Linked DNA regions of Callithrix jacchus. The protein of the gene in region 3 purifies or fractionates together with the protein of the main gene of each other region. This does not show direct contact. Links are inferred from orthologs where the notes say so. Each region holds a gene or a part of one and is shown on either strand. Other genes may lie near its edges.

Region 1 (3,755 bases), on a different chromosome or scaffold from region 3:
TTAGCCTCCAGTCTAGTTCTTCCATGAGAAATTTTCTTTTTTTTTTTTTTCTTTTTGTGACCTTTCTATTACCAATTTCTAGTGTAATTCTACCAGGATTAACCTTCAACACCTCTAAATTTGTGGACTGTCTCTGTGACCTAGGATGTGGTCTATTTTGATAAATATTTCATATATACTTAAAATGAATGGATATTAACTTTCCATTTTGTGGTGTTGAGAATTTGTAACATATAACTATTTCTTCTCCCAGACTGAAATATAACACCAGATCCCAACGATAAAAACAACAAAACACTTCAAGGCAGGATATGCCGTTTATTGATTTAACTATTTGCCAGTTCTGTGTATATCTTGATTGAATTAATAAGCATTTAAAAAATAAGGGATAGGAAAGAAGTCATTAGGAAGTAGAAAAGAATGTTTTAAATTGCTTATCTAAAAAGGCTCTTACAGTTGGCACATATTCTTTTAAAGACTTGAGATGTGTATTTCAGAATAATGTGTCATAAATCAGCGTGATTTTTAGAAAATGTTCTGTATCAACCTTCAACAATACCTAAAATAACTTCTTTGATACTTATGTAAATATCTACATGAAACTAATAGCAAAAGGCTACTATTTCTGGTAATTCTGGAAAAAGTTTCCATATCTTAATTAATTTCTGTATAATCTAAGTGTTTATACAGGTAGCTATCTAAAATTACGTAAAACAAGCTATGCAATATTGGCTCACCGCTAACAGAATAGTGTCGGGTAAACCACTTCTCAATTTTCTAATATGCACAATGCGAGCTAGTACAGCACTTCATTGCAAAATCAGAAATGAAAGCGTTTTTACGAAAGACACGCTACAAAAATAATGCGAACTGTAACGCTATTATGACCGTTCGCCTAATGGTGAATGATTAAACATTTAAAAACTTTACTTTCATCTTAGATCACTCCATTGGAGAGAGGCAGAAAATGTACGGTAGGCACGCACAAAGGCTACCACCTGGAAAGACGATAAAACTAGAAGAGAGGAGGGAGGCGGGGCCCAATTTTGGCTTCTCCTTCCAGCTCCGCCCGTCGAACGCTAGTCTGCCAGTGACGTCACGCGAGACTTGTACTTCCGCTTCCGGTAACTCATGTTTCTCTTTCTTCCTGTCTGCCTAGAAAGATGGCGTCCCGCAAGGAAGGTACCGGCTCTTCTGCCACCTCTTCCAGTTCCACCGCCGGCGCAGCAGGGAAAGGCAAAGGCAAAGGCGGCTCTGGAGATTCAGCCGTGAAGCAAGTGCAGATAGATGGCCTTGTGAGTGCTGTTTGGTATTCTCTGGCCCACGTGGGGAGCGCAGTTCCCAGCCCCGTCCCGCCCCGCCAGCCGTACTTTCCAGCATTCTGCCCCCGGACTTGGTGTGGCTGGGCCAAAGTTTTTCCCTAGTACCTTTCTCTTTCATCTTCACTTTTTTTCAGAAGACGCGACAACCTTCTCTTATCTTCTATCGGGACAGTTGTGGCTTCAGGAAGGGGGACTGAGAATAGGGTGTGAGTGACAAGTTCCTGGGGTCTTGTTTTGAGTTGCCTGGAGTGGGGATTAGGAGAAAGACTCCTGGAGACAAGCAGCTAACGAAGGTGTCGAGAAGGATTTAGGGACTTAGCAGGGCTCTGGGAAGGAAAGAGTAAGGAAACTCCACTGCTTCCCTGCTGGGATCTGACATCTATAACTTCCCAAATGGAGATGTACTTTGTAGCCACTCTCTTGAGCCTGTACTTCGGCGCTTTAAATGAAACCGCATAATTAGAATGGACTCTTTTGTAGTGTTTATTCAGAAAAACATAAAGTAATATCAAAGAGAAGGACCTAAAATGTATTTAGTAGTTAAGGTTCGTGAACTAGGACATCTAAGGAAATTCTTGATAAGGGAATGGACTTAGCTGGGAAAAGGATAACCTAGAATGAGAAATTTTATTTCTGTTGTTTCGAAGCAAAATACATTTGTATGACATTCTCGTTTTAAAAACATCTTTCCTGCCTCTCTTTTTAAAAAGCATCTTCTCTCTCTTTGATTTTTTTAAAGGTTATTTCCCATTAATGCAGATCTTAGATACTTGCAATAAGGAAGTATTTTAAAATTCATGTGAATATTTTAATTGCACCGTGCTATTTTTAAGTGGAAACTATTCATAATTTAAATCCAGCATATAATTGAATCTGTTGAACTGACTTAGTTAAACTGGATACAAAAGTGTAGCCTAGTGGTTAGGAGCTCATTTAGTCTTCTAGGGTCTTCCACTTAACCAGCTCTGTGACCTTGGGCAAGTTAACCTTTCCAAGCTTTGCTTTTCTCATCTGTCAAGTGGGAATGAGAAGGGTTTATGTCATAGAGTTGTTTGGGTTAAATAAAAAATTTATGTGGTGACCTCTAGCACAGAGTAATCAATGTTACGATTATTAAGAGTTTAACGTCTATGGTTAGCAGAGCTTGAAAGATGCAGGTGAGAGATTAACTTTGGAATGTTTTGCTCTAAGTGTCACTTGTGTAATACGTTGAAAATGCAGTACTATCTGGTCTGTGTACTGGCACTCTGGCTTTCCCTGGCTCATGGGAAGCAGATGTTTGTTCAGGAACAAATGATGTGTCTTTAGAGATTACAAATCTCTAAAGCTGGTGGGTGGACTTAGATTACACTTGTTAAAATAAGTACCACTTACACACTTGGGAAATGTTTATTCCTTAGGAGCACATTTCTTATTAAATTTGTTATGTCACAACAGCACTCTTTGAGTCACTTAGTTTTCAGAGTTGAAAAAGGCAAAAGGTCGGTGGCATTAAATCTATTTGGAGGTCATTTATTCAGTAAATATTTTAGGACATTCTTCTAAGTGCCAAATATTGTCTAACAGGGCAGTGATAAAAGCACATCAGTAACAATTTCCTGGCAACTTTAAGAGGGATTGTTAAAAAGAGACCTGCAGGTGGAGATGGACTGGATCACTTCAAGTTTCACAAGTAGACAGTGGGCTTAGGAAGGTCAAGAGAGTGGTTCTCAATTTCGTGGATTCACAAATTACTGTTTTTTTTATCAGCTCTCTCACAATTGATTAATGCCAAGGAACCCGTTAATCCTGCTCACAGGGGATTGGTTTGTACATGTGAATGTTGATTTACTCATTTACTGTGGAAGATAAACCTTTACAGTGGTGAAAATGCTTATATGTACCACCAAAAGGACCATTTCTGATTACCGAAGCACCTTTGAAATCGGCTAAAAAATCAAGTGACTGGGTGCAGTGGCTCATGCCTGTAATCCCAGCATTTTGGGAGGCCGAGGTGGGCGGATCACGAGATCAAGAGATTGAGACCATTCTGGCCAACATGTTGAAACCCTGTCTCTACTAAAAATACAAAAATTAACTAGGTGTGGTGGCACATGCCTGTAGTCCCAGCTAATTGGGAGGCTGAGGCAGGAGAATTTCTTGAACCCAGGAGGCGGAGGTTGCAGTGAGCCAAGATTGCACCATTGCTCAAAAACAAAAAAAAGATCAAAAGCTTATCAGTGACTCCAAAGTCAATCATGATAAGAGCAGGTAAAGGATTATTTTACTTGAGAATTATTTATATGCAGATTCTTGATGAACTTAGTGAAAGATCTCTTATTGCAGAGTTGCAGTAGTGGGTAACTCTGCTTTTTTTCTCCACCGGTTAGGTAGATATTAGCAAAATAAATTCCTAACAACTTTTCCTCTCTTTGGACATCTGCCTTTCTGTCA
Region 2 (2,892 bases), on a different chromosome or scaffold from region 3:
CTTTATACTCACCAGAATGGCTTGAATGAGGTTGGAGTTGGCAGACAATGTGATTTTCATACATAGTATTGGTTTGATTTTAAATCCCACCCCCACTTTTGTAAAAGCGTAACATAGCTTTTGGTTTTATTCATTCTTTAGCAGACATCTTTGGGTTTCTTAATCATTGCAGGGAATTGATGGAAGATTTTAAAATCAGCGGTAGTGACAGTCTCAAAGTGAATTAGTGTCCTAAGTCGGGATACATATAGTGGAAAACTTGGTTATCTAAATGACTGCCCTGAGATTTGCTGTCCTGAATGCATTTCTAGTTAGTGTTGGAAATAAATTTTACTGGACTCCCAGAGGGGCATTCCCACCCAAGCATAAGTGCCCTCCTTACCCACAAAGTAGCTTGCCTTTTCAGCGAGTAGAGACATATACATACATATATGTGCATGAACACACAAGTGCACACGCGCACACACACACTCTCTCTCGTTTTATCTCTCTCCCCTCAGGAGTGATTTGAATTAGACAATAAATAGCCAGAGAGCACCACCAGGAATGGGCACATATGCAGCAGCTGTCCAAAGGAGAAATCACTTTACTTTCTTTTAAACTTGCAATGTTTGTCTTTATTTTGTTCTTTATATTTTCAAAGTGAAAAGAAATAGTATTGAGTCAATTTCTTTTTGTTTTTTTAAATATTTGTTCTATGTATTTACAAGCCTTAAAGTTGCTCTAAAGATTTCAAAATTATTAAGAGTACTTTGACCAGGGTAGCACTTTTTTTTTTCAAAACAATTCTTGGAGTTCTGTGGTCCACAGCATTTCCTTCTGTTTCAATGTTATGTATGTTTTGATTACTATTGTGATTTTTTAATTTTCTGAAGCAAGCTGAGAGGCAGGCAGAAAGATTTGATGCCAAAAATAAATCTTTCTTACCTTGTTCACCCCAAACTTTCTCAAATCTGAACTAAATGCTATACCTTAAAACAAACATGAGGTGCATCTGAAGGGGAGGGGAATTTATTTCTCTGCTTTTCTATTATACAAGTTGTTTACAGAAACTGCAAATTAAAAAATTACACTGGCATTTGCAGTCCTTAAAATAAATTAAAAGTTCTCAACATTTTTTTTTTTGCTAAACATTTTTTTAAGTATGAGTCCTTGTTTAAAAAGAAAAGATTAAAACAGAAAATATTTTCTATAAATAATACATGTATTTTGGTTTTAGTGCTCCCGCCCTAAGGTTTGAAGTTTACTTTTTCCAGTACCTTTTTCCTCCATGATCACCTTTTTTTCTCTTTTCCCTCTCCCACTCGTGCACATGTGGGGGTTTCTGCGAGAATTGGCCTTGCTGCACTGTGATTGGCGAAGACGTGAAACTTTTTAAAAAAATACTTAAATTGTTTCTTTTGTTTCGTTTTGTGTATTTGAAGTTTTAGTTATCTTCAGACTCCTCTTCCGCTTCCCGCAGCCACGTGAAGAATGCGGTGACAGATTTCAGGGCCACTCCCTTCCCATTCTGCTCTGCAGGGTCCTTACTGCTCTCCCATTTGTAGAAGGCATCCTCAGAGATCACCTCCTCATCATATAGGCAATCAAAAAACATCCGCAACAAATCTGCAAGGAGTGTGAAAATAAACTATAAGCTTTGGGACACTGTAGTTATGAGGAAAAGTACCTCAGTGCTATCTCATCATTTCAAAATAATGAATGACTGAATAAATGCACATTAATTCCTCCAGAAAAAAGCAATAATGGCAATTCATCATACTTGCTCTTGATAGTAGAAACAGCCCAACAACTTGTTTAAATAAGAGGGAAAAAAGACTGAAGCAGTCTAAATTATTTTTTATTCCTATTATTTTGTTCAATTTTAACTTTTTTTTTTTTTTTTTTGAGAGACCATCTTTCTCTGTCCCCTGGCTGGAGTGCAGTGGTACAATCTTGGCTCACTGCAACCTCCACCTCCTGGATTTAAGCAATTTCCCTGCCTTGGCCTCCCAAGTACCTGGGATTACAGGTGCCCGCCACCATGCTAAGCTAATTTTTATATTTTTAGTAGAGACAGGGTTTCACCATGGTGGCCAGGCTGGTCTCAAACTCCTGACTCAGGTGATCCGCCTGCTCTGGCCTCCCCAAGTGCTGAGATTACAGGCATGAGCCACTGTGCCTGGCCCTATTTGAACTATTTTCTGATACTTGTGAAGCTGTTTCATACGATGTTTATCCCAACCTAAACACTACAAAATTTCAATATGAATAGATTTTTACTTTCTTTTTACTATTTTCTGCATTGAAAGTTTACTGTATTCTTTTTACAAATTCGGAGGGGGGCAGGTGGAAAGGCAGGATATGCTTTTTCTTCCTTGTAATGTTGTTTTAAAAATGAAGAGGTGATCATTCACATGGAAAACATGGGTAAAGGATTTATCCAGTGAAACTATGCCTGTTATTTATCATTTTAAATGTCCAAACTATCTGTGTTATTTTAATTCTCGGTTTTACTCTCATAGTAAAACCGAGAATTATAGTTATCAAAATAATAAGTTATTATCTTATTAGTTATTATAGTCAGCTCTCTGATCATTTATATTAATGGGGGGAGGCAGTAGAATAAACAATAAATGTAAATCAATATTAGGTTTATCATAAGCCATATTAACCTTTTCTTTTTTTTTGAGATGGAGTTTTGCTCTTTTTGCCCAGGCTTAAGTACAATGGTATGATCTTGGCTCACTGCAACCTCTGCCTCCTAGGTTCTAGTGATTCTTCTGCCTCAGCCTCCCCAGTAGCTGGGACTATAGGCGTGAGCCACTGTGCCCAGCTTAATTTTATATGTTTAGTAGAGATGAGGTTTCACCATGTTGGCCAGGCTGGTCTCGAACTCCCGACTTCAGGTGA
Region 3 (3,755 bases):
TTCTCAGACAACCATCATTCTGACAACCATCATTCTCAGAATATGTCTGGCATCACTTCAAGTCTGGATTTCAAACATAACAGGGATGAATGAGGAGCAGCACCACTAGACTGACGGCTAGGCCCACTTTGCCATCTTGGTATACTTAATCTTTGTCCCACTTCCTAGCATAATAAGAATTTTCAAATAAATAACTTTGTATTAAAAAAGCAGTATTTAGAACCAGTAACTTCTATAATATAGAAAACTGAGTCAACTAGTAATCATTCTTTAAGTCGGCCTTCTGAATCAATAAGAAAATGTTTCCCGATAGTCTCGATGATATTTTGCACCATGGGTAGGGTTGTAATTTAAAGTTAAATGACTATATACGTTATTTTTTATTTTTACCGAGGGACCTGAGATGGGGCTAATTGAAAACATCTGGAGCTTAAAGACCCGTGCAGTTTACGCAGCGAGGATATAGCTCTGAATTCCAATAAATCAACATTTCACTATATATCGGCAATCAAAACTCAAAGCCTTTTTAAAAAATGATGAATACAGACGGAATCAAAATCAATGTAGTCCCAAAGCGTCCATTAACATTCGTGCGTTCCAAGGAAAATTACTGCTTCTTGGCTTCTATCCATTTGCAAAAGTTTGATTCTTTTAGGCATTCTTCACACCTGTTAGGTTAGAATCAGCTTTCTTTTTAAGAAAAAGAGAACGAAACACTAGAAGCGATATGAGAATAGAATTGGCTATTCCAGAGACATCTGCAAATGACACTCCCATTTTTTTCCTCGCGCTGCAAAATGTACCGGTAAACCGGACTTTCCGGGACTCGCTGGGTGGCCGACATTTTCCCTAGCAGGAATTTTATGTTTCCGAGAGCTGAATGGATGTTAACGTCAGGCTAGACGCCAGGCAGGTCTTCATTGTCAAATTAAACAGCGGTGGGAGCAAGCGGAATAACCGAATTCCCCTCCCGCACCCGAGCGCCGGCAGCCAGCAGAGAACCGGGACCCCTCGCCCGCGGGAAGCCCCGGTCGCCCAGCAAGCAGCGCCTCCGGCTCCAGCTGGGCTCCTCTGGCCCGCCTCTGCGTCAGGGACGCGGAAACCCCGTAGGAGCTGGGCGGGCGGGGAGCGCGGTGTTTGAGAAACGCTGCAGCGATATTCTTCCGCCGCGAGGCAAAGAGTCCCAACCCAACCCTGGGCCCTAGGATTTCCAGCGACCCTGGAGTATCTAGAAATTGCCACATTTGTATTTTCCTACCGACTTGCTTAGGATTTTATCCGAAGTAATGACCCCAGGATCACAATTTTGTGGCTGGCCGCAGAACGGTGAGAAAATTCCTCCGCGAGAAACGGGTTCCGGCCACGAGCCTATAAAAAACGGGTGGCGCGGTGGTGCTGTCTTTTCAGTCGAGAGCTGAGTGGGTTTATCGGATCATGTCTGGTGGCTCCGCGGATTATAACAGGTATGGCGCTCTGTTGGCGGTCGCGGTCTGTAGTGAAGGTCATAGGGCGCCAGGGGAGGTGATAGTGGATGGCACGGAAACAAGAAACTAAAAATTCATGGACGCTTCCTTGGGGTACAGCACCCCTGTGCCCTTCGAGAAGCTTCCATGATGGGTAGGGCCCGGATTGTGGGGAGACAGGACGAGGGTGCGGAAACAGTGGCCAAGGGGCGTTTTTCCTCCCTAAGACATGAGGAAATTTCAGCTGCTTCCTCTCCCAGTGTAGAGGACGGCAAACAAGCAGCAAAAAGTCTTGGCGCAGACCGTGTTCGGTACAGTGTAACTAGGACCTGAACCTTGTGGTCAACCGCACGACTTGAGGGTCCTAGGCTTTAGTTGGCGAAGGGTTGGAGGCAGCGGTCTGCATTCGGCCACCGCGCGGAGGCGACGGGACCGGACCGGCACTGGTGCCGGCGAACCGTTGGCATCGCCCTCGCCAGGCCGCTCCGCCCGCGTCAATCACCCGGCTTGCGCATTGTTGGGGGCGGAGCTCAGGGCGCGGAGCTCTCGCGAGACGCTCCGCCGCCGAAACGGGAGCGCCGTGCGCTCGGGCCTGGGGGGCTGCCTACACGGGCGGCTGCAGCCCCCAACCTTTAGAGAGGCGCACAGTGTGATACTCGCCGTGCAGCGGCTGCTTTAGGTCGGGCACGGAAGGGTAACGTGCAGAGACGGGTTGCAAAGGGCTATCCCTTTAATATGCAGTTAGGAGGCTTGGAAGGGATGTTGTCTGACTGCAGTGTTATTGTCAGCAGAGAACATGGCGGCCCAGAGGGAATGGACCCCGATGGTGTCATCGAGGTAAGAAACGGTTTTGGATCTTGAAGCTTTGAAAAGGTGAGTGTGTTCATCTCATTTATGCCTGCATTATTTTTTTCTAATTTACAGAGCAACTGGAATGAGATTGTTGATAACTTTGATGATATGAATTTAAAGGAGTCTCTTCTTCGGGGCATCTATGCTTACGGTTTTGAGAAGCCTTCCGCTATTCAGCAGAGAGCTATTATTCCCTGTATTAAAGGTAAAAGAAACTTCGATATTTTTAGGAAATGAATTTTTGTTCTACATAGATCTGAACCATGAAAGGGAAAGTAACCTCTGGGGGACTAGCACCTGTTTGTATTCCTTAAAGTGAAATGATGGCAATCATCTTTCGGGACTGACCTGAAATGAAGAGAATACTCATTGCTGATCACTTGATTATTTGGGCATAATTCATGTTCCAAATGGAATACATGGTGTGAAGTAGAAGTGACAATTTGATGTGGGATCGGTAAATATGTATCCTACTTTTTTTAGGGTATGATGTGATTGCTCAAGCTCAGTCAGGTACTGGCAAGACAGCCACATTTGCTATTTCCATCCTGCAACAGTTGGAGATTGAGTTCAAGGAGACCCAAGCACTAGTATTGGCCCCCACCAGAGAACTGGCTCAACAGGTATTGATAGTGTAGTTCAAAAAAACTGCTTGCGTGTTGCATAGGTTTCAGGTTTCACAACTGTGAAGAATTTAAAACTTAGTATAAATTGGTCCTACCAGATCCCTCCATTTAATTGTCCATGCATGCAGGGAGTTTTTGTTGAAAGTTTTAAAAGAACTGGGTATGCAGGTACGGTTTGTAGGGTTGTACATGAATAGCTTGAGAATCGGAAGCTCTCTGGATATACTAGATCTGTCCCCATTTTTTAAGTTTGAATGCAGTTGTGCAACATGAAAACTGCAGTGACATGTTACCATTTGACTGTCTCCGTAGTTTGTGATGCATCTGTTGCATGCTATGTTTTCAAAGCTCACTGCTATATTGGCTTTGAAGTAAACCTTCCTAATAAAGCTGTAGGCTTTATTGAGGTCAAGATTATGTAGGGCACAATACTCTCTGGGGAAGAAAAAAATCAACATTTGCCCTAGCTGTAATTACAGAACATATATTTCACTATGGATTCCTTCGTTCACACAGTGAAGAATAATGTAGGAAATGTTATTCTTGAATTGTCTAGCTGATGTGTGGGGCAACAGCATCCCAAGTCTGACAAGGCACAAGAAAGACATAAAGGGAATTTTACATTGAAGCAGTTAGGTCAGTGTGCATTTTAAGCTTGGAAGTAGATTTGTGCTGTGCATGCATAAAAGCTGTTGGCAGACCAGATTATATTTGCCATTATGCTTTAAAAATTAGTCATTGACCCTGGAATTCTGCAGGATAATAATTAAGCCTTGGTTTTTAGATCCAAAAGGTAATTCTGGCACTTGGAGAC

What was found.
Region 1: the proteins of EIF4A2 (region 3) and EIF3H purify together in Homo sapiens (affinity purification with mass spectrometry; 3 studies listed by BioGRID and IntAct, with this or other methods). This does not show direct contact. The link is inferred for Callithrix jacchus from reciprocal best matches to the Homo sapiens genes EIF4A2 and EIF3H.
Region 2: the proteins of EIF4A2 (region 3) and EIF4G3 purify together in Homo sapiens (affinity purification with mass spectrometry; 3 studies listed by BioGRID and IntAct, with this or other methods). This does not show direct contact. The link is inferred for Callithrix jacchus from reciprocal best matches to the Homo sapiens genes EIF4A2 and EIF4G3.

The regions. Positions count from the first base shown.
Region 1 is NC_133517.1:80,682,184-80,685,938, forward strand, and holds the start of EIF3H (eukaryotic translation initiation factor 3 subunit H), read left to right. Parts: upstream 1-1,137; 5' UTR 1,138-1,163; coding exon 1,164-1,295; intron 1,296-3,755.
Region 2 is NC_133508.1:57,649,348-57,652,239, forward strand, and holds the end of EIF4G3 (eukaryotic translation initiation factor 4 gamma 3), read right to left. Parts: intron 1,609-2,892; coding exon 1,427-1,608; 3' UTR 591-1,426; downstream 1-590. UniProt on the Homo sapiens protein: Component of the protein complex eIF4F, which is involved in the recognition of the mRNA cap, ATP-dependent unwinding of 5'-terminal secondary structure and recruitment of mRNA to the ribosome. Functional homolog of EIF4G1.
Region 3 is NC_133516.1:15,751,019-15,754,773, forward strand, and holds the start of EIF4A2 (eukaryotic initiation factor 4A-II), read left to right. Parts: upstream 1-1,399; 5' UTR 1,400-1,434; coding exon 1,435-1,463; intron 1,464-2,251; coding exon 2,252-2,300; intron 2,301-2,387; coding exon 2,388-2,520; intron 2,521-2,628; exon of another isoform or gene 2,629-2,697; intron 2,698-2,798; coding exon 2,799-2,938; intron 2,939-3,725; coding exon 3,726-3,755. UniProt on the Homo sapiens protein: ATP-dependent RNA helicase which is a subunit of the eIF4F complex involved in cap recognition and is required for mRNA binding to ribosome.